Linked DNA regions of Alligator mississippiensis. The protein of the gene in region 2 interacts with the protein of the main gene of each other region in a pairwise test. Links are inferred from orthologs where the notes say so. Each region holds a gene or a part of one and is shown on either strand. Other genes may lie near its edges.

Region 1 (7,521 bases), on a different chromosome or scaffold from region 2:
CAAATTACTGGGAAGCACAGTCACACTAGAGGACAGGCTGGGAATTCAGGCCAAGTTGGACAGGCTCGCAGTAGGTGTATCAAAACCTGATGACTTTCAGCACAGAGAAATGCAAGGCGCTCCACCTCAGGAGAAACAACCCACATCATACCTGTAGGTCTGGTAGCGCTACACTCACTAGCACCACGACTGAAAGAGACTTTCACGATTGACCACAAGATTAATGTGAGTCACCAATGAGATGCCACAGCCAGCAAAGCAAATACAACCAACCCTGGCTTGCATCTACCAATGCATCTCAAAGCAAGACCCAGGATGTCATCCTCCCACTTTATTTCGCCTTGGTGAGGCTACAGCTACAGTACTGCATCCAATTCTGGGCTCTACACCCTAGGAAGAATGTGGAAAAGCATGAGAGAGTCCAGAAGAGAGCCATGCACATGATCAGAGGTCAAGAGAGCAGGCCTTATGAGGAGAGGCTGAGAGACATGGGACTCTTTAGCTTGGAAAAGTGTAGGCTGAGAGGGGACTTGGCAACAGTCTATAAGTATATCAGGGATGTACATCAGGATCTGGGAGAACATCTGTTCACCAGGGCACCCCAAGGGAAGACAAGGTCTAACTGTCACAAACTGCTGGAAGACCGTTTTAGATTGGACATAAGGGAAAACTTCTTTACCATCCGAGTCTTCAGAATCTGGAATAGACCCCCCACCAGAAGTGGTGCAAGCACCTGCTCTGGGCACATTCAAGAAGCTTTTGGATGATTATCTTGCTGGGGTCATCTGACCCCAGCTGACTTCCTGCCCTTTAGCAGGGGGCTGGACCCAATGATCTTACAAGGTCCCTTCCAGCCCTAATGTTTATGAAATCTATGAACAGTTTTGATTCACTGCCTTACATGAACAATCAGAGTCGCCTAAAACTGGAATCCTGGTCCGCTGGAAATAAGCCGGGGGTTGGTTTGCTATGGTTCTTATGCTTGTTGTTTACCAAACAGCAGCAGCTTAATTAGTAAATGAACCTGAATCAAAGCCAGATGTGGCTTGGGCTGTTTGCACAAATCCAGTAACTAACAAGTTCAGGCCTGATGGCACAGCTCCACAGTTGACCTCAGTCAGGCCTCCGCTCTGGGCAAGCCTGTAATAATAACTGGTGACTGATCATGAAGCTGCAAAGGCAGCATTAACCACAAACACAGACTCTGGTCATAAGATTACTAAAAGGGTGGGAGAGGTGGATGCAAGGAGCTGAGAGGAGTATTTTTGCTCCTGTGGTGAGTAGGAAAGAACTAGCCCTGCTTTCCAGGCTAGAACTATAACATGCAGCAAATTGGGTTTTATCATATAAGCAACATGTGAGTTGAGTTGCCTCAGTCATGTGGCTGAGCCTGGAATTGAACCGTGACATCCCAAATCCCAACCCAGTAGCCACACTACTAGATTTGTACTCATGTGCATTAGAAACGTTGGGGAGGATGTGGATTTTATGCAAAGCCCTCTTGCTTGAAAGGAATGCCAATAATTTTAAATAGTGGCTTATGCCAGACATGCCTGTCAAATGAGCCTGCCATACACAACATGCAGATTCCTTTTCCTGATCTTCCTGCTTCAGGTGCCCAGGGCATCCACAAATTTCTGCCATTCATCCTGCGCTGTTCAGGCTCTCAAACGTTCCATTAATGGGTAGACAAGGTTCCTTGGGTGAATCTGATCTTTTATTAGACCAACCCAAATAGTTGGAGAATAGTTATTAAGCAAGCTTTCGGGTTCAAAAACCCTTCGTCAGGCTAAGGAGGTTTCAGCAGTTGGTGTGTGCGCTTCCTGGATGGAATGGTTCTCCACAGCGTTTCACCAGTTATTGTGGAAGCTGCATTGGTGGCATTTGTAAAGCGCAACCTAGATCCCAGCTTCCCTCACTGTCCTTTTTACCACATCCAATGCTCGCTAGAATTTCTGACAGACTCGATGGACCTTCCGCGGGTATTTGTTCTGGAACGGATGCACCTTCTATGCAGTTACTAGGGTGAATGTCTGTGACTCTGTTCCATAAAGTGAGGACAAGATGAGATGTCAGTGCTTGAAATCATGTGTCTGCTTGTGCATGTGTTAGGGCTGATTATGCTATTGTGCTAAATCTTTTCAAGTTTATGGAAAACTATTTGTAGTTTTTGGATGTCTGTTTCCTGACAAGTAGCGCAGCAGCATCCTCACAGCACATCTTGCTCCCTACAAAGCCAAAAAGCCTGTCTTCTTCCAAAGTTTCTCCATCTATTCTGCTGGCTGCTTCTGGGAGGTTAACAGCATTATGCTCCTTTTTGTCTTATTCAAGAAAAACTGGTGCCTCCAGAGCCTGGGGGGGGGGGGGGGGGGGGGAGAAGGGAGTGTGCACCATTTGTAGGCAGCAGTGAGCAGTGATCACCCACAGAAGACAGTGATGGTGACCAATCTCAGGGGGGGGCACATGCCCCCCCACGAATCACCCATGCATAGATTCATTGCTAGGAAGGGGCTGGAAGGGGAGTGGAAGATCCCTGGGTCCAGCGCCCTGCGCTTGACCAGACAACCAACCACCCTGTTTTGCTGCATTTGTTAAGGGCTTTAACCAAGCAGCGAGTTGAAGGACGCAGGGCACCACCACGGACAAATCTCAGGGTCCTCCAAGCAGATTTTACTGTTGTCCCACAACCCCCTGGGAACTCCCTCCTCGGGAGCCAGGCAGCGCCCACCAAGAACCTAGGGACAAAGCACCTTGGCCCCGCCTTCCACCCGGACCCGCCCAAAACCAGCGACAGCCGGGGACAGGCAGGGGGGCGGCAGGGGACCTTGACCCTCCGAGGGATCCGGAGGATTGGGGGGTTCCCGGAGCCGCGTCGTTCACCGCGAGTGTCAAGGCACAACACGGGCCGCCCAGCCCCAGCCCGTCCCACAGCGAGCGCAGCCGCGCACCAGAGCCTGTCCCGGGGCGGGGGCTGCTCCGCCGCCAGCTCCAGCGCCCCCGCCCCACCGCCCGCGGGCGCCGGGGACAAGCGTGGGGGGTGAAGCAGGCCGCGCAGTGCCGGGACTCAGGCCCGGGAGCTGGGGTCGGACTCCGCTCCGAGTCGGGGGTTGTGCGGCCCCGGAAGGAGGGGGCCTGCCCGCACTCACCAGCACCGCGCGCTCTGCCGAGCTCGCCATCCCGGCCGCCATCCCCGCCGGCCGCGGCCCCGCCCCCACCTCTTCATTGGGTAGCTCGAGCACTGCCGCCTCCGGATAGGTCCCTGCCTAGCAGCCCCACCCACCCCGGCCCAGCCAGCCTCGGCTAGGCAGCCGTCAGCCTGGCAACGCGCCGCCGGGAGCAGCCGATTGGGCGCAGCCGCGGCCCCGCCCCTCCCCTCCCCTCCCCGCAACAGGGGGGTGACGCCAAGACGCCTATAGTGACGTCAGCAAGAGATGTCAGCGCTGACGGGGGCGGGGCGGCCTCCGCTCGGCTTCTCCTCCCGCGCTGCAGGTGGCCCAAACCGGGTGCTCCGCCCCGCCCGTTTGCGCTCAGCGGGCCCGCAGCACCCCCCGGTTCACCTGTGGCCGCGGCGGAAGCGACTGGCGCGTGCGAGCGTGCCCCCGAGCAGCAGGACGCTCCAGCCCTGCAGCGCCTGCGCGTGTCCCCTGCTGCTGTGAGCGCTGACCCGGGCCCAGGGGTGCACCGGCCAAGGAGCCTGGCTCCTGCAGGACGACGCCTGTGTCTGAGGATGCAGCTGCAAGGGAAGGAAATCCTCTTGTCGGCTCAGGTCAAGCACCGTGCTTGTGGAAGGACCACGTGTCTGTGAAGGCAGTTTTCCTAAAGCGCTCCCCGTGAGAGCTGCTCTTCTGGCGCGGATCGGTACCCACCCAGGTGCAGCGGCTTTAAGCCCAGTCTCCTCCCTTGCTCGCTGCGAGGGCAAGCAGAACTGGGGGCATCTGAACCCCAGGCCTCCGGGCTCAAGCCTGCACGGAGGATGCCTGCTAAAGGATTTGGAAACCTCTGAAGCCCCAGGTGTGGGTGGAGGATGGTTGCCGGTAGTAGGGCCACTTATGATTCTGACCTCTTGAATTTGGAATTAGTTTGGGCTAATTTTTCCTGGGATACATAAAAGTAAAAAAAAAATCCTAGGGGATAAGGGGGCATTTTTGTGAACTGGTGATTTTATTTGCACTCTTAACACTTAACACAGCACTCAGAGTGGTCACATAACAGGCCAGGCTGCCTGACATGCTGTAAGTGTGTGCTAGTGTCCTCTGGCAGCTTTGTCTTCATAATCAGGCTTTATTTTAGTTCTTTCTGGCACATTACCTCCCCTCCAATCTCAAGCCTTAGTTTTTTCCTAAGCACTCAACAGCCTTACATGAACGCAGAGTTGCACTGAACTAAATTACAGGCTGGATTTTTTTCCCAGGCATAGATTCATAGATGTTAGGGTCGGAAGGGACCTCAATAGATCATTGAGTCCAACCCCCTGCATACGCAGGAAAGAGTGCTGGGTCTAGATGACCGCAGCTAGATACTCATCTAACCTCTTGAAGACCCCCCAGGGTAGGGGAGAGCACCACCTCCCTTGGGAGCCCGTTCCAGACCTTGGCCACTCGAACTGTGAAGAAGTTCTTCCTAATGTCCAGTCTAAATCTGCTCTCTGTTAGCTTGTGGCCATTATTTCTTGTAACCCCCGGGGGCGCCTTGGTGAATAAATACTCACCAATTCCCTTCTGTGCCCCTGTGATGAACTTATAGGCAGCCACAAGGTCGCCTCTCAACCTTCTCTTGCGGAGGCTGAAAAGGTCCAGTTTCTCTAGTCTCTCCTCGTAGGGTTTGGTCTGCAGGTGCTTAACCATATGAGTGGCCCTTCTCTGGACCCTCTCCAGGTTATCCTCATCCTTCTTGAAGTGCGGCGCCCAGAACTGCACGCAGTACTCCAACTGCAGTCTGACCAGCGCCCGATAGAGGGGAAGCATCACCTCCTTGGACCTATTTGTCATGCATCTGCTGATGCACGATAAAGTGCCATTGGCTTTTTTGATGGCTTCGTCACACTGCCGGCTCATGTTCAACTTGGAGTCCACTAGGACTCCAAGATCCCTTTCCACTTCCGTGCCACCCAGCAGGTCATTCCCTAGGCTGTAGGTGTGCTGGACATTTTTCCTTCCTAGGTGCAGCACTTTGCATTTCTCCTTGTTGAACTGCATCCTGTTGTTTTCTGCCCACTTGTCCAACCTGTCCAGGTCTGCTTGCAGCTGTTCCCTGCCCTCCGGCGTGTCCACTTCTCCCCATAGCTTTGTGTCATCTGCAAACTTGGACAGAGTACATTTCACTCCCTCGTCCAAGTCACTGATGAAGACATTAGAGTATCAGTCCAAGGACCGAACCCTGCGGGACCCCACTGCCCACACCCTTCCAGGTCGATACCGACCCATCCACCACGACTCTCTGGGTGCGACCCTCTAGCCAATTCACCACCCACCGGACTGTGTAGTCATCCACATCACAGCCTCTTAACTTGTTCACCAGTATGGGGTGGGATACTGTATCGAAGGCCTTCCTGAAGTCTAAGTATATGACATCCACCCCTACTCCTGTGTCCAGGCGTTTCGTAACCCAGTCATAAAAAGAGACTAGATTGGTCAGGCACGATCTGCCTGCCACGAACCCATGCTGGTTTCCCCTCAGCATAGTTTGTCCTGCCGGGCTCTCACAAATGTGAGCCTTGATAATTTTTTCAAAGACTTTGCCAAGGATGGAGGTGAGACTGACTGGCCTATAGTTGCCCGGGTCCTCCTTCCTCCCCTTCTTGAAAATGGGGACCACATTGGCCCTTTTCCAGTCCTCTGGGACTTGGCCCGTGTGCCACGAGCTTTCAAATATTCCCGCCAGTGGCTCTGCAATGATGTCGGCCAGTGCCTTCAGCACCCTCGGATGGAGCTCATCCGGGCCTGCCGACTTAAAGGCATCCAGTTCTTCCAAGTGACTCTGCACCATCTCAGGGTCTACGCATGGAAGTCTGGCGCCTTGCTGCTGCCTCTCTACAACCCCAGTGAGAGACTTGTCGTGCCCCTCGCTTAGGAACACTGAGGCAAAGAACTCGTTGAGGAGTTCAGCCTTGTCCCCCCTGTCCGTCACCAATTGTTTCTGCCCATTTAGCAGGGGTCCTATTCCTCCCTGGGCCTTCCTTTTACTCCCTATATATCTAAAAAACAATTTCTTGTTGTCTTTTACTTGGGTTGCCATCCACAGCTCCATGGTAGCTTTGGCCCATCTAACTGCCTCCCTACAAGCACGAGCAGAGGAGGCATCTGCAAGATTTATGTTAACATTGCCCTGGATCCTGAACTCTGTACCTGAGCCCTCCAGTCCTGGAAGCTGTTTTCCTACTTACAGTAATGTACAAACCAGCCAATACCGTTTAACTCGGGAGTATTCATTGATCTGGCCAAGATGCGGACACGTCCTTGGAGGGAACGGTCCTCTCCCAATTGATCGCTCATTGGAGCTTTATCAGTCAGAACAGCAGCGCTTGAGCGCTCCCCCGGAGCTGGTTTGTGCTTCCCGAGAGCTCCTCTGGGGCTGCACACAGCTCTCTTAAAGATCAGTTTAGACTACTGTGTTCTGGGCGAGAGAGAGAGGAGGAAAAAGGCATAGTGGGTAGATACTACAGTATTCTTGGGAAAGCTTTCAAAAATATATTTAAACTGACATTTCAGGAGACTGGATTTCCTTATGCAACCAATGGTTTCTTGGGTCATTTAAAGCAAAAACAACCTTAGCCTGCTTGCTGCTTTCTATTGCTTATCATTTTGCAGTGCCCTTTACTTCCCCCAAAGCAGCATGAAATCTACTTCACTTGTTTGCTCTGCAATCACCCTCCGCCTCCTGCTGTTGCAATGTTAAGGTTTCAAACACTGCAGGCACTACTGGCACTATGCTTGGGCTGCATAGGTTGCTGTTTGCCAAGTCTACTTGTTTACTGATCTTGCCACCAGCTCAAATGGACTTTTTGGTGAATGGCCACTGCTTATCCATTCTCTGATACATTGCCATTACTACTAGTACCAGCTTAGGACAGCATTTTGGAGGTGCAGATTTTTACTGCTTAATACAATTGCTCATCTGTCCTGTGGCCAAGGATACATATAAATTTTTCTGTGTCTTGTCAAAGGACATACTGTAGAACTGATATAAAAAAGACAGGCAATTACACAAGATGCTAAAGAGATACTCAGTTTCTTTTCCTTGAATCCATCCTGCTATTTAAATGAATTTGAGCTTAAAATAGTTTTCATTGCAACTATGTTACAATACTGAACACAGCTACTGCTAATTTACAGGACCAGAGATGGGTTGTGAAGTTCAACTTCCTCCATTCCCCAGCCTCAGACAGTATTATAACATTATTTGCAACATCAAGGAAACCTTCTAACCTGATTGGATAAGATCAGAGGCTCTCTAGAGATCTAGTAAATCCAGAAGGTTGATCATATTTCTGCAAGCTAGTTCTTCAGGCGTACTGACCTGTGT
Region 2 (8,105 bases):
GAGCCTCACAGGCCAAATCCAGACCCAACAGCAGGGAAAGCGATACTGAAAAGGTTAATGCAGCCATTGCTCACCCCCCCACACACACGCACGCATGTCCCCAGCTAGGCTTTACAGCTGGAAATTAGGTGGCAGGCCCAACGTTGTTCAGCCTGCCCCTAAATTTCTGGCCCATTTGAGAGTTGAAACCCTTCCAATGGCCAGTTGCAGCCGAAGGGCTGTATATTTGACATCCTTGTTCTATACCATTAGTTTCAACATCCTCAGTGTTGGTGGAACAGAGGGCTAATCTAGCTTTAAAGTCTTTCTCAGTATAACTATTTCAGTTAGGGATTTTTTTTTTAAGCAAGATAATTTCTGCCAATTAAATCCCTAGTGTAGACATGTTATACAAGTATAATGCTTCCCCTTCCTCTACAGGAATAATTATATTGATATATAGCATGTACCAGTTGTAACTGTATCCATGCTGCTTGGGAGTGTGCCATAACTTCTTAATGTAGACAAGATCCAAGCCAGTATTAACAATGGTAGAAAATGTGTTTTAAATCTTTGTACTTCCCTCCTTTGTGGATTATGTACTGGCATTAGCATGCACTTAAAACACAGTCACACAGTGTGGAAATCAAAGCATTTTTTTCCAGCAGCACTGGGAATTTGACCATATTCAGAGTAAAGTTCCTGTATTATACATTTAATATTTCAAAACTGTCAGGCTTTCTGGGTGAACAAAAGCAAAACAAACCAACAGTTCTAATACATATTACTAAAAACCACCGCTGCTGTCATGTTTAGAAGACCAGGAGTAACCTCATGCACTCCCAAACTTTAGAATGATCACTATCAATGATGTAATGAGTAGGCAAGCAGTCACAAGCCCCAGGTGCTGCCTAAGACAGGGGAGGAGAGGTGCCAGAACAGAGCTGATGGGGCACTTCACCTTCCCATTCCACGTCCCTTTCCCCACACCCTGCACCTTCGCAGGCAGCAACTCCAGCTCTGGCAGCAAGTGGGCAAAGCAGTAGCAGCGATGCACGGAGTAGGACTGGCCAGTGCATAGGAGCAACATGCTGCTTATAAAAAGAGAGAGATGCCAGCTCCTTTCTTTGCCAGCAAAAACCAGTGTTTTTTGGCCACCGCTCAACACACATCAGCAGCAAAAACAAAGTGTCATCTCCACACTACAAGAGCAAACCTCTGGCCGCTGCCTCTGCACCCTGCACTGCTACCATCCAGGGCAAAGTACAAGCCAGTTATGCCTCTGGACACTGCAGGAGGAGTGGAACAAATTGGCTCCAGGGAGCAAACCAGTATACCAACCTGTACCTATTACTTGCACTAGGCTCACAGCAATTCCACAGCCAACCACGGGTGGGACTTTTGTCTCCACTACTAGAGCTCAGCTACCTGAAACAGTCTGGAAATTTCAGCCACCTGCCATTAATGAGAGGCAGATCTCAACAGCATCCCCTCGGATAAGTACCAAATCTTTTCTTTTGGTTGAGATTCTGTGGTAATGTTTACAGTGAAATATCTGGAAGCTTTTCTATTCTGTTCTAGAGAGAGGTAGGTAGCTGTTTTAGTCTGAAGTCAGGCAGAAGGCAGGACAGGTTGGCACAGTGATTCTTAAGCACAGTGCCATGGTGCCCTGGGATGCTGAGAGATCCTTTCAAAGGTGCCACGCAGTACTAGCATTGTTGGGAATACATGCAATTCCAAAGGCTACAGAGGCCTAGGAATCCACCTGCTTCCTGCAGCTGCTTCAGGCCTTTACAGCAGTGATTCTCAATCAGGTGTCTTGAGATCCTTTCAAGGATGTCACACAACGTTAGTACTGTTGGATGTACAAACATGATTCACAAGATAAACCCGGAGATTTCAAATAGAATCTGCACTGTCAAAAGCCACCTACCCAGCTGTGGTACTTCTGTGTTCTTTGCTACAGAAGAATTGCTCAGAGAAATAATAAGTGACAGCTAAGAGCTGCCATTTTCCATGGGGTGCCTTGAGTCTAATTAGGGGTGCCTCAAGCTTAAAGCAGGTTGAGAACCACTGCCTGAGAGACTAATGCATGTGGTTTGGCAGGCAACCACCTACGTTGTCAAACTTTACTTGGTTCACAGCACCTGACAAAAAGTAGGCTACTGCCTACCAAAAGCTTACACAGGCAGTTCTCACCCTTTCTAGACTCAAGGCATCCTTGGATATACTCAAGGCACCTGTCGGCATGTACCAGCTTTGCATTTTCACTTTTTTTTTTTTTTTTTTTTTGGCCTACAGAAAAGAAATAAAGCGGGGTTCTGTCGCAACACAGGCAGAAAGCCTGCCGCTATGGGAGTCCTACAGCAATCTCTAGATTCAACCTTGCCCATCGTGTATGGTAAGCAGCGCTAACAGTGACAGCTCCCTCAGATGGTCTAAAGGCACTCAGGAGAATCCCAAGGCACCCCAGGAGATCTCAAGGGACCCTGCGATGCCAAACCACCCAGGAGAGCTCAAGGGACCCCAGGATCCCAGGACACCTAGGAGGACCAAAAAGCACTCCAGGATTTCTCAAGGGACCTCATGATCCCAGTATACCCAGGAGGACCCCAAGACACCCCAGGAGATCTCAAGGGATCCCATGATGCCAAAGCACCCAGGAGATCTCAAGAAACCCCACAATCCCAAGGCACCCAGGAGGACCCCAAAGCACCCCAGGAGATCTCAGGGGACCCTGCAATCCCAAGGTACCCAGGAGATCTCAAGGGACCCCAAGGGGACCCCAAAGCACCTGGGAGGATCCCAAGACACCACAGGAGATCTCAGGGGACCCCACAATCCCAAGGCACCCAGGAGGACCCCAAAGCACTCCAGATCTCAAGGCACCCCTGGGTGCCAGCCTGCTCGAGAAGCCCCGCCTTACACAGCTGTGCCCTGGCCAGGCTCGGGGGCCAGCCTGCCCCTGCCCCCGAGCCCCGGGGTGCACAGCCACGCGGCCGGAGGAGTCTCCCCCCACCCCGCGCAGCCTGGGCCCCGTCCCGGTCGCGGCGCCTCCGAGCAGCCGCAGCCCCGGGGAAGCGCTTCGGCGGCGCCTCCTCGGCGGCCGGGACCCGGCGGCGCTGCCCCGAGCCGGGCGGGCTGGCGGCGCGGGCTGCTCCGGCCCCGCACACGCACGCACATGCACATGCACCGCCGGGATCCCCCCGCCCCGGCCTCACCTCGCCCCGCGCCGCCGGCCCCGCACCACATCCTCCGGCCCGCCCCGGGACAGCGAGAGCCGCCCCACCCGCCCAGCCCGCGCCGCGCCACGCCACGCCACGCCACGCCACGCCACGCCACAGCCACTCCCCCGCCGAGAGCTGCCAGCCCCCGCCCCGCCCTGGCACAGGCGACCCCCGCGCCGCGCCCGCCCCTGCTCGGCAGGGCAAGGACCCCCGCGCCTCCCCCAGCCCGGCCGCGGGCGGGGGGAGACAGGCTTTGTGAGCTGCCAAAGAGCGTGGGCTCGGGCTCCCCTCATCAGGAAAGCTACTGAGGAGATTAAAAAATAAAGACATCTCAGGCCTCAATCCTGTAGGGCAGTGGTGCTCAACCTTTTCTGGACCAGGACCCATTTGCAAACATCAGTGGCCAGTCCCCAGTACTGTAGCAACAAAGTTTGGCACCAGGGCAAAGCCCATAGTGGCAGCTCACCCCAGCCCTGCATGCAAATCCCACCCAAGCTTGGCCAGGAGTGCACACAATGGCTGGAGCTACCCTTCCCTGGTCCCAGCACCTCCCCAAGCCTGCCGCTTGCTGCTCCGTCCCACTCCCTGCCCAAGCTGGGCACCGCCTGTTGTTGCCCCTTCACTTAAGTGCCCAGGGCGATCGCCCCACTCACCCCTCCCCCTTGTTATGGTACTGCCAGTCCCAACCCAGTGCCCCTCACTCCCAACCCGCTGCCCCCGCTGTGTGGGGCATTGGGGGCTCCAAGCAACCCCTCGCAACCTGGAGCTCTGCCAGACTGCAAGGGAAAAGGCCTTGTTTCCCACATTTTTCTACTTTAAAGGACAATCCACCTGTTGAGAAACGCTGCTGAAAGGGGCTTGAGCACAGCAAGTGGGGATGAGGCGGAATTGATGTGTTTTAAGTCCAAACATATCATCCTCATAACCTCTCAGGCACCTCAAGCCACTTGCAGGGCTGGACACAGGCATGGGTGAGCCAGGTAGCTGCCTGGGGCCCAGGCAGAAAAGGGGTCCCCAAAATGCTAATTATTATTATTATTATCATCTCCAGTGAAGGGGGGGGCAATACTAAAAGCTTGCCTGTGGGTGCCAGGAGTCTAGGTATGGTGCTGGTCACTTGGAACTAAAGCTTTCACCCGGCTTTTCAAGCCTGTCAAGCACAGTTCCTTTAAGCACCTAATGTTTCTGCCTGTCACTGGGGCCAGTTCTGCTTTGAGCAGGGGGTTGGACTAGATCAGTGTTATTAAACCCATGGGTCACGACCCAGAAGTGAGTTGCAAGAATATACAAAAGGGTTGCAAACAAACTTTAAAAATGGATTCTCCTTTAAAGAAAAAAAATGTGGGAAGCCAGGGCTTTCCCCTTGCAGTCTGGCAGAGCTCCAGCCTGTGAGGGGCTGCTTGCCCCCTCTCTGCCCCCACCACGCACACTGTGGCAGAAGGCAGCAGGTTGGGCGCGAGGAGCACTGGGTTGGGAATGGCCACTGATGTTTACAAATGGGTTATGGTACAAAAAAGGTTGACAACCACTGGACTAGATGACCTCCTGAGGTCCCTTCCAGCTCTCATTTTCTAGGATTCTGTGACATATCTGACTAATTCCAACTGGTCTGGTAGATGGCCAGGCCTTTTGATGTGCTGTTACAGGATGAGAGTCAAAGCCCATCAAACTGGGCTATGAGCACCCACCCCCTTGATGTGGGGGGCCACTGAGGGCATATCACTGATTGCTTGGGACAAATAAAATGCAAAATAAGTGAAGAGGTGAGGGTCAAAGGTTCAGAACGAGCACACTGAGGGGGTGGACTGAGCACAGAACACCAGAACGTGGGCACTGGTCTTTGAATGCATCCAAGAATCCAGCTGACACTGCCCAGTGAAACTGCCTCGAGATGTGAAAAGACCAAGGACAGGAAAATGGCCCTGCAGTCCCCAGAGTTCTCCCAGCCAGGGCCTCCTTCCTGGTCAGGTATATTGCCATCTTGGTCAGGAGGAGGTTGACCAGGAGGTCCCAGATGTGGGAGTGCCACAGATAGGGAGCACATAACAAAAAAGGGGCAGGGAGTCATGCAACCAGAACTTCAGCAGGAGGTTCTGGAGGAGGCAAAAAAGGGACTGCAACCTGGCGCATTCAAGGGTAGGCATGTGCCAGGGTCTCTCCACCTAATTCAGTGCTTGGGAGTGACTCAAATAAGGTCCATCATCACAGATAACACAATACATATTTTATTCCCATTTAAACTAAACTAGAAACTTTACTAATGCAAGGGGTCCAGGGCTGTGTTATTCTGTTTAAGATTGGAGCAGAAACAAACATAACTTAATTGGAATGTGTTCAAAAACAATCTGCAGGTCTGTGAAATAGAAGCAGCGAGGCCCCTGCTATACCTTACATATATTATGCAATTCACAGTTGAATTGTGAAATAAATTTATACTGGCCACACCTGCAAAGTAAGACCAGCCACAAGTTCAAAGTAATTATCACCTTGTTAATGGGTGAATCGTGCAATAAATTTAGACTGGCCACCCATATGCAGAAATTATCACATGATAAAAATTACTTTCCAGCTGTAAAAACTGCTAACCAGCTATAAAGTTAGTGCTTGAAAATGTGTAAGAACTCTATAGCTGGTTTCTATCCAGCTTTAATTTGAATGTGTAGCAGAGCCCTAACAGACCACAGAATGGCAGAAGGAAGGACATCCTGATGGGTAGAAAATCAAGGCCATTAGAAAGAAGAGAGGGTCATTAATACTTATGAAATGAAGTTTTAAGAAGGGATCGGGCAGATAATAACGAGCCCTGAAGTCAATTGACTCCCTCATCAGCTGCCTGACTAGAAACGCTGCTGCCACTGCCAGACAGTTCATTTTAAACTGTGGGTGGACCAGGGACCTGACAATAGAGTGGAACAAAGTCTGGGTCTTCCCTCTGCCTCTGTATAAAATCAGACCCTTCTACTATGGGGATGACCTTGCTCAGGTTCTTTGCCTGAGGGGCACAATTCTGTGGACTCTTCCCTAGGTCCTAATTCAAACTGTATGCCAGCACCTTTACCCAGTCTTTTACCAGGCCTCTGCTGAGAGTGCTTCCCTTCTGAACATTTGGCATTTCCAACATGAGGTAGGCAAGGACCCATAGGTGATAATCCCTTGATCCAAGGATGGTCTCTACCATGGCTCACTGATGAGTCTTGTGGTGACTTGGGAGTCCAATCCTAGAGCCACAGATCCATCCACAGAAGGAGACTAAGCTGCAGGCTGGGATTCCTCTCCTTTTCCTTCCTCTGCTCTCTCAGCTTTGAGGGCAAGACATTTTACCTCAAAATGAGCTGCTGCTTGGGTAAGGTTGTGGTGCCACTGGAGTCGGTTGGCAGCCAGCTTCTCCCAAATCTTATTGACAGCATCTGTTTTCTTGAGGTATGCCTTCAAAGTGTTTTTGTAGCATTTTCTCAGGCCATTACTAAGCTGGGAGTACAGCATTTGTTTTGGGAGGCAAGAGTGAGGCATCTGCACACAATGTCAGGTCCAGTGAAGTTGATGCTTGAGGATCATTGACTCAATGCTGGTAACACTGGCTTCAACAAAGATGCTGGTGTTTGAGTCAACGTTCCTATTTGATGCAGAGGATTTTCTGGAGGCATCATTGGTGATACTTCTCCAGGCTCTTGAGATGGTAATGGTAGGTCATCCCCATTTCACATCTATAGAGGAGAGCGGGGATGATTTTTCCATTGTAGACCTGGATCTTGGTGTCTTTCCAGAGACTGCAATGAATAAAGACATGCTGAGATACATTCAGCACCAGGGCAAACTATAAAGCACTTTGGTCTTCTCAATGTTGAGAGAGAGGCCCAAAGTTTGGTAGGCTTCTCCAAAGAGATCCAGCATGGTGTGGAAGTTTTCCCCAATGTGCACAGTCACTAGTACATTGAAGTTCAAGGATGGTTGTTTTGAGTACTTTGGTCTTCAAGTGAAAATGTCCCAAGCTGAAGAGTCCTCCATCGATTTGGTATTCAGTGTCAATTCCAGAAGGAAGGCAGTCATTAATGAGAGCCAGGATGACAGTCAAATTATTGGAGAACAGAGCTGGGATGCATCCTGGCTTGACCCTAGCTCAGATGACAAATAAGTCTGTCTCCAATCTACTACAAAGAATGGTTGCAGTCATCTGGTCATGGAGAAGCCTCAGGGTCTTGATGTACTTCCGTGACATCCAAATCTGGCCAGTACTTTCATAGGGCTCCATGATTAATCAAATCAAAGGCCTTAGTAAGGTCAATGAAAACCATATACCGGTCCTGATGTTGTTCCGAACACTTTTCTTGAATCTGGCAGGCAACAAAGATCATGTTAATTGCCCCACAGGATAATCTGAACTTACTCTGAGATTCTGACAGGACTTTCTCAGCAAGAGGTAGAAGATGGCTCAGAAGGATGCAGAAGAGTATTTTCCCTGCTGTGGAAAGGAGGGTGATACCTTGATAGTTCTGACAGACAGACTTATTATGTCCTTTTTTGAAGATAGTTACTATGTTGACATTCCTGAGGTCCCCAGGGAGCTCCTCATTGTTCCTAATTTGAAGAATGGAGTCTTAGTACCAGCCTTGTAGATTACAGCAAGTATGCCATCCAGCCTAATAGCCATGCTCTTGGTTTCCTTGATGGCACACCAGATTTCTTTTAGGATAAAAGGGTTGGCTCGGGATCCTCTTTCAGGGCTTTGGACTCAATGGTGGTATCCATCACAGTTCAGGAGTGCCTCAAAGTGTTCTTTACATCTGGCTTACATCTTAACATTCATTGTTTTTGCAGGGTGGCCTGATGCTCCTGAATCACAGGAAATGAGGACTGTGGAAAGTTGGGCTGCAGATGGTTTTCATTGCCTGAAGTAAGTTA
Region 3 (7,738 bases), on a different chromosome or scaffold from region 2:
CAAGGCGCGGGCGGACGCTGAACAGGTGGCCAAGAAGGCTGAGGCCTTTCGGCAGTACAGCGATGCCGCCATGGCCGACATGCTGCTGCAGCGCCTGCCCGAGGTAGGCCCTGGCCCAGTATCCATAGGCCACACCCCATCGACTGGCCACATGCCCAGTGTGGGTGGTGCCCATATCTAGGCCACACCCACAGCCTGGCCATATGCCTTTGTGCTGCACAGCCATTGTGCAGGCCACACCCCCACACTGGCCACGCTCCCAGGTCATTGGCCATGCCCCCATATAGGCCATGCCCCCACAGCACCACAGCTACGCATAGGCCCCACCCCCTCTCAGGACCCCAGCAAACAGGCCATGCCCTCAACTCATGCCTTACGCTCTGTGCTCAGGCCACACCTAAACATGTACCTAGCTCTCCAGCCTTCAGGCCACGCTCCCTTGCCCCTAGGACACAGGCCACACCCCGACACATAGGCTTAACCCCCATATAAGTGCCACTCCTATCTAGGCTCCACCCCCCACCTACAGGCCCCATTCCCTGCCTGCAGGCCCCACTCTGCCTAGGCCCTTTCCCCATCATACAGACTGCACCCCATATATGTCCTACCCCCTGCCTCAGCCCCACCCCATTCATACCCCAGCCCTTTGCCTAGTCCTGCTCCTAGCCTGCAGGCTCTGCCCCCAGCACTCAAGCCCTGCCCCAACACATCTGTGTAAGTCCCACCCCCCAGCCTGTAGGCAGCAAAGCATGCCTCACTCCCCTGTATACGCCCTACCCTCAACTTACAGGCTGTACCCCTACACATCCCACCCCCAGGATCCAGACCCCCTCTCCAGGCCCTGCCCCCATACACTCCCCACCCACCGCCCATGCAAACCCAGCCCTACGTGGGCCCCACTCCATCCATGTCGCACCCTTCTGCATAGTCCCCACTCCTGCCTAGGCCCTGCTCCCAGCAAGTAGGCCATGCCTCCATATATACGCCATCCTTCTGCATAGGGCCTGCCCCCACTACATAGGCTACACCCCCAGCCACATGCCGCACCTCTGTGCCTAGGCCCCACCCCCAGCACACAAGCTTCACCCTCCTTAATGGCTTTCTCCCCCACAGGTGGCGGAGGAGATCAGCCGCCCGCTGTCCTCGGTGCAAAGGGTGACACTGGTGTCCAGTGGGGACGGGGCTGTGGGCGCCGCCAAGCTGACAGGGGAGGTGCTGGGCATCCTGGACAAGCTACCTGACACGGTGGAGAAGCTTACAGGCATCAGCATCTCTCAGGTGCCTGGAGACCTGGGTTCTGGTTGGGGGCTGGCACAAGGAGTGCTGCGAGCCTGGATGCCTGATTTTGGGGGTGGGGAGGGGAGTAGGGCAAACTAGAGCTTGGATGCCTGTCTTCTCTGGGAGGGGAGTGAGGGCTGGGGAGCTGGTGCAGGTGGGGCTGGGTTCCCTGGCGCAGGGGGTGAGGATGGGGGTTAGAGAAAGGGGCTAGGAGCCCAGAGGCCTGGGTTCGCTGGGAGTTGCATGGGTGGCTCGTGGGTTAGAGAAGGGGAGGGGGAGTTGGGAGCCCGGGCACCTGGGTGCCTCTTACATGTCTGCTCCTCTCACTGCCTCACACCATCCTTCCCTCTCTCTCTCTCTCTCTCTCTCCTCCAGATAAGCCAGAAGAAGCCAGGCCGCATGTCCTGAGCTCCCGGCACTACCCGCCCCTCCTTGCCTCGCATGGGACCCCCTGCTCCCCCAGCTCTGGGTGGGGCCGAGCTACCCCCTGCCCCCACTTGCACTTCTGCCCCTCTGTGCCAAGTCTGTGTGGTTTACAGACCCCTCTCCCCAGTGCCACTTGGAGGACAGCAGGGGTCCCCCCATCTTCCCTGCTGCCCTCCCCTCCCTCCCACTGCCATAGCCCATCTACCTGCCTCAGCCCCATCTCCTACAGTGCCTTGTCCAGCCCCCGCACAGGGGCAGCTGCCTGTATGTGCCCCGCTGGTGCCACCCGGTCTGTGCCAGACATAATTAAACCCTGCCAGGGTACATGGAGCTGGGCCTGGCTAGTGTCATGTGTGAGGCCTGGGAGTCGGGGGTAACTCCCTGGTGTCCTGGGGGTTGGGAGGCGGGTGCAGCTGCAGTCTGGCAGCCCCTGGTGCCCCCCTGGTGCAAGCAAGGGGGTAGCATGGGGGAGAGTGGCCTAGTACCCCCAGGGCCTGGCCTCCCCCCCACCCCCAGGGCCACGGGAGGGGGTTACAGCCCCCAACACTCCTGGGGGGGGGGGGTGTCTCATTCCTCTCTGCACCTTCACCCTTCCCCCCGCGCCCAACTGGTACCCCTCGCTCTCGCCCCGCCCCCAGGTCCCCTGACCTTTGACCCCCGCCAGGGCCCCGGGCTTGGAGGCCGGAGCCGCAGAACCCGGAAGTAGCTGTACAGAGAGGCGCCGCGGGACCGTAAAGAGGCGGGCGGCGTCGGGCTAGAGTGTCTCCCGGGTTGCGGCCCTGGGCACGGCATGGCGGAGATCGAGAGCAACCACCGGGGGACGGGCTGGAGCGGATACTCCGCATCCTCCACGTGGGCGTGGACCATAGACTGTGGGGCAGGGGAGGAACAGAGAACGCTCTAATGCTGTGGCTAGAGTGTCCGCTGTCGGTCCTCCTCAACATGGCGGCCTCACCCTTCTATCGCGAATGAGCATAGAGATGCCCACGTCGAACCGCCGGGACACTGAGGGGGGAGGAGGGCCCGCCGTCACCCGCCAGAAAATGGCCGCCGCCCGCCCATTGAGTGCGGGGCTAGAGTACAACCGGCCCCGCAGCACGTGGCTCCTTCCTCGTGATTTCCGCTGTTCACTAATGAGAATGACGTCACCCCGGGGCCATTCATAGCCACCGGCCTCTGGGAAGCGCCAGGCCCTTGTCCCGGCCCGGCCTGACCCCAGTTGAGCTGTGCCAGGCGCCATGGTAATGCAGGCCAGGGTTGCCAGGCAACGGGCAGGTTACTAGGGGCAGCCCTGGGTACCAAAAGGGGTATCTCGGTGTTGCCAGGCAACGCGCTGGTTACTACAGGGGGGCCTGGCTACCAGGAGGGGGCGTCTGAGTTACCAGACAACAGGCTGGTTACTTGGGGCTGCCATGGTACCATAAAGGGGCATCTCATGTTGCCAGGCACCTTGCTGACCGGGGCCTGTCCCTGCTCCCCAAGCATACAGGCCTCAGGCCAGGGCTGCTTCCAAGCCTCTAGTGTGCCCCCAGGCCTCGGGGAGAGATGGGAGAAGAGGATGCCAGTGTCCGGAGGGGAGCAGGACCTGCCTGGGGTGGGACAGCCATGACACTGTTTTTGCAAGCTCGCAGCTCCTACACTCAACTCCAGTGCCAAATCCCAGCCTGAATTGGGCGCACCTGGTTGTAGTCATGAGGGAGAGGCTGGGAGCCGAGTTCTCTGCCCCAGCTGGGAAGGGGTGCAGCAAACACATTGCAGCAGGGATGCCCGGCTCCCCCTCCGGCTCTGGGAGAGGAGGAGGTCTGTCAGGGCGGTGGGGTAAAGGTGGCTGGGAGGGGGGGTCAGGGCAGTGGGGTAAGGGGGGGCTGGGAGGTGGCAGGGTAGTGGGGTAAAGGAGGCTGGGAGGCCGGACACCTGGGTCCTTTGCGGGTGGGGGATGCAGCCGGTGGCAGCCAGCACCCCTGGGTTCCTTGGTGAAAGGGCAGCGGGTGCCCGCCCATCCCTCTCTGCCTCCGACTCTAGCAGGGCTGCGGCCGGTCCCCAGGGGTGGGACTGCTTGGAACTCAGCTGGGGGAGACTCAGGGCTGTGTCCGACGAACCCAGGCGTCCGCCCCCCCCCCCAGCCCCCACTCCGTCCCGGAGACCCCAGGCGTCCGGGGCAAGCGGGACCTGCCTGGGGCTGGACCCTGGGGACAACATGTCGCCAACAGGGCGGTGATGAGCGATCTAGGAATGAGCCGGCCCCGCCCCCTCCCCGGGAGCCCAGGCCGGCCGCCAGCTCCTCCCCGCCCAGCCGCACCCTGCACCAGCTCTGCGACACTGCCAGCCCCAATCAGCGGGCAGTGGGGGCGGGGCCAATCCCGGGCGCCTGGGTTCCCTCTCCCTTCCCAGGCCCTGCCTCTGCTCCCTTCCCCAGGCGCTTCCTTCCTTCCCGCTGCTTCTGTCCCCGACGGGGGGCTGGGCTGGGAACCCGGGGTAGGGGCCCGGACCCCTGGTTCTCGGGGGCGGGGTCGGGGCCCAGACCCTTGGTTCTCTGTGGGGGCGGGGTAGGGACCCGGACTGCTGGTTCCCTCCCCAGCCTGGGAAAACCTCTGGGGTTCAGTATTGCCAGAAGCACCCCACCCACCCCTCCAGAACAAAAGGTGACTACAACTCCCAGCAGCCTTTGCACGGACCCCACCCTGCCCTGCTGGCTCCCCACTCCCGCCCGCTATCACGTGTGCGATCCCCTTCTGGCCAATCAGACCCCGCCCGGCTGATCCCAGCCGACCAATCAGGGGCCTGGCCGCCGGCCAGGCTATAAAAGCTTTGTCTATATCAGCCCCCGCCTTTTACCAGCCCTTTAGAACGTTGGACGCCGCCGCGTTCGGAAGGAGGAAACTTGGGCTCCGCAGCGTTCTACCCTTAAAGGGGCGCGTCGCACCGTCAAAAAGGGGGCAAAAAGGTCCTGCAAGATGAGGGAAATTGTGCACATCCAAGCCGGCCAATGCGGTAACCAGATCGGCGCCAAGGTGAGGCGGGGTCCGGTTTGCTCGGACCTGTGCAGATCCTCCGGGGATAGGGGATCGCGCCTCGTAGGGCCGGATGGTGCCTATAGGGGGGTGATTTGGCGCTTTTTAAATTGGACAAATTCCTTTAACTCGCCCGGGAGATCGGGGGTGGGAAACCCGTTTAAAACGAGAGAGGGGGCGGGGGGGTGTCTGGGGGTCCGGGTCCCCCTCTCCCCCCCAGCCTTAGAGACTCCCCTCTGATGGCGGCGCGGGGAGACCCGGCCCGCGGAGCAGCCGGCGGGAGCGCGTGGCGGGGTGGGGCGGTCCGGCCGCGGGGGGAGGGGAGGACTCTGCTGCGCGCCAAACCCGCGCGTGCGGGGGGAGGGAACGCGATTTGAACCAGGAGCCGCCCCCGGCGGGGCGGGGCGGGGGGGCTCGGAGCGGGACGAGGCTTCCTGCTGGGGACGCGCCGGCGGGAGAGAAGCGCCCTGATCTGGGGCGGGGCGGCGGCAGCCCGATCTGGGGAGGGGGCTTCTCTCCATCGGGAGGGGGCGTAGCTCGGCGGGGATCGGGCCCGCTCCTGGGTGGTACTAGAAACTTGGTCCATTTCAGCCCCACCCCCTTTTTTGCGGGGAGTGGGGGGGTCAATTTCAGTCTCCTTCCCCCACGTTCGTTTTGGACCCGATCAATTTCAGCCCCTCCCCCTTTGTGGGGGCGCGGGAGTGGTCCATTTCAGCCCCTCTTGCTTTCTGGGCTGTTCAGTTTCAGCCCCTCCTCGCCGGCTCCGGTCCGCCCCGTCTCGCTGGTGGATTCCCCCCCCCCCCGCGAACTTGGCCCCGGCCGTGAACTTGGCCCTGGCCTCAGCCCCGTGCCTCGGCTTTGCCTCCCTCCGGGGCCGGCTTAATCCGCATTAAAAGGGGCGGCGGGCTGCTCGCGGTACCTGCCTTCCCCTCCCCACCCGCCCCGCAGGGTCGTTCTGCTCGATCCGGGTTTGCTACATAGTGTCCGCGGTGCCGACCTGTCACACTGTAGCCGCGGGAGGAGGCGGCTTGGAAACCAAGTTGCCAAAAAAGGTGTGTGTGGGAGGGGTATCGCTCTGCTCCTGGTGGATCCGGGGTGGGGGCAGCCCCCAGCCTCTGGCACTCCCTGCTGCCAAGGATTTGCTGCTTCCCCCACCCTCTTTTGTCTGCACAAGCACATGGCTGCAAAGGCGGGTTCTCTCCCCCTCTACCTGCAGGGGTCTTCCAGCTGGATCCTTTCCCCTTTCAATGGGATCTGGCTGGTCCCCAAGCTTGGACTGACTATTTTCACCTGTCTCCCAGCACCCAGAGGGGAATCTGCTCCTCCACCTCCTAGTTATAAGGGGATCTAGCCCCCCCCTTCCCCTTGGGCCAGAGTCTGCAGGGATCTGTAAGCTGGAGTCTTTGCCCATTCAAGGGACTCAGGGTTGATACCACAGCTCTGCCCCAGTCTCCCAGTACCTGCATTTGGGATCCATTCTCCTTCTCCACCTCCTAGGTATAAGGGGGATCTGGTAAGTGGGTGGCTCCCCTCTCCCCTGGGCTGGGCTCTGCAGGGATCTCCTTGCTCAAGGCTGGATCCTTTCAATGGGATCTGTTTGGGGACCAGGTCTGAGATTTGGTTTGCTTCCTTCCCCCAGCTTGCAGTGCCCAGATCAGGAACCATTCCACCCTCTAGTTATAAGGGGATGTAGTGGGTGCAGCTCCCCTGGTGCCAGGATCTCCCCAGCTAGATCAGATCCCCTCCTTTCCCTTTCCAGTGACTAGGGGATCTCAAGGGCTGAGACTACTTTCTTTGTGCCTCTCTGTAATGGCTGCTGTTGGGGGAAGGAGGCGGAGGTGGTGAGCCAGCCAGACATCTTGGTGAATGCGGTCATCCCCAGCCGGAGGCCTCTGGGATTATTTCCCCTCCCCCTTCCTTTCTGGCTCTGGCTTTTAAAATGCAATTGCAGATGTCCTGGGCGGGTCCAGATCATCTTTGTGGCCGGAAACTGCTGGGAGCTGCCTCATTCTTGCCTGAATCAGGGCTTTTCTCTCCCACTTCTTACTTGCCTTCCAAATAGGAGTTTGACTTTTTTTTTGGTTTTTTTTTCTTTTCTTTTTTTTGTTTTTTTTTTTGGAGCTGGATTCCCTTATAAAGACCTCAAGAGCCAGGCTGGGGGGTGGTGGGGGGTTATTTTGAGCTGGAGATGGCTACAGACAAGGCTGCTTCCTTCCCTCTCCTCCCAAAATGAGCTGATTCTCTGTTTTTATTTTCTAACTCCCCAACCCTATTCCAGGTGCCCACTCTCAAGAGATTGAAGCCTGCCTCTTTTTTTTTACTGCCAGTTTTCCCCCAAATGACTTTGATTCTGTGCGTTTCCAGTCCTACACCAGATGCCAGTCCTTGAGAGAGTGAATCCTGCCAATAGCTCCCTCTGTGTGTGTGTGTGTGTGTGTGTGTACATATTTTTTTTTAAACTCAAGGCTTTGAATTCAAGGTTTTTTTCCCCACCCCACCCCCTCCTTTCTCTATCAATAAATAGACTGAAATGTATATTTTTTAAAGACCTTTATATTTTTCAATCCAATGCCTTTGGATTCAAGGTACTGTTTCTCCCTCCTCTCTCTCTAAAAGTGAATGAGCCTGGGTTTTTATAGAGTTTTATATCTAGCTATTCAGCTGGCTATAATACTTAGAAGTCTTCTGTTTTTCAGCACACAAGCCTTTGAATTCAAAGTAGTTTCCCTTCCCCGTTCCTTTCTCTATCCACAAATAGCTTGAATTTTATAGGGGCTTTCAATTTTGGAGATATAAGGTATAGCCTATATCCTTATATGCGGCCCATATCCTTGTATCTTATAAGATAAGGCTTTGAATTCAAGATGGCTCTTCTTCCCACCCCCCACCCCTTTCTCTATCAATAAATAGCTTTAATTTATAGGGTTTTATGTTTTTCAGTGCATACTTTGAGTTCAAGATAGTCTTGCGCCTCCCCCCCCTTTTATCAGTAGGCTGAGTTTATAGGGGTTTTTTTAACATCA

Evidence for each region. The genes of interacting proteins can lie anywhere in the genome.
Region 1: the proteins of DISC1 (region 2) and ROGDI interact in a two-hybrid assay, tested with the Homo sapiens proteins (2 studies listed by BioGRID and IntAct). The link is inferred for Alligator mississippiensis from reciprocal best matches to the Homo sapiens genes DISC1 and ROGDI.
Region 3: the proteins of DISC1 (region 2) and TUBB interact in a two-hybrid assay, tested with the Homo sapiens proteins (2 studies listed by BioGRID and IntAct). The link is inferred for Alligator mississippiensis from reciprocal best matches to the Homo sapiens genes DISC1 and TUBB.

Annotation. Positions count from the first base shown.
Region 1 is NC_081836.1:30,383,874-30,391,394, forward strand, and holds the start of ROGDI (protein rogdi homolog), read right to left. Parts: upstream 3,208-7,521; 5' UTR 3,189-3,207; coding exon 3,147-3,188; intron 1-3,146.
Region 2 is NC_081824.1:149,966,871-149,974,975, reverse strand, and holds the start of DISC1 (disrupted in schizophrenia 1 protein), read right to left. Parts: upstream 3,264-8,105; 5' UTR 3,201-3,263; intron 1-3,200. UniProt on the Homo sapiens protein: Involved in the regulation of multiple aspects of embryonic and adult neurogenesis. Required for neural progenitor proliferation in the ventrical/subventrical zone during embryonic brain development and in the adult dentate gyrus of the hippocampus.
Region 3 is NC_081834.1:57,379,415-57,387,152, reverse strand, and holds the start of TUBB (tubulin beta chain), read left to right. Parts: upstream 1-4,531; 5' UTR 4,532-4,658; coding exon 4,659-4,715; intron 4,716-7,738. Other genes in the region: FLOT1 (flotillin-1), read left to right, coding at 1-103, 1,114-1,278, 1,654-1,686. UniProt on the Homo sapiens protein: Tubulin is the major constituent of microtubules, a cylinder consisting of laterally associated linear protofilaments composed of alpha- and beta-tubulin heterodimers.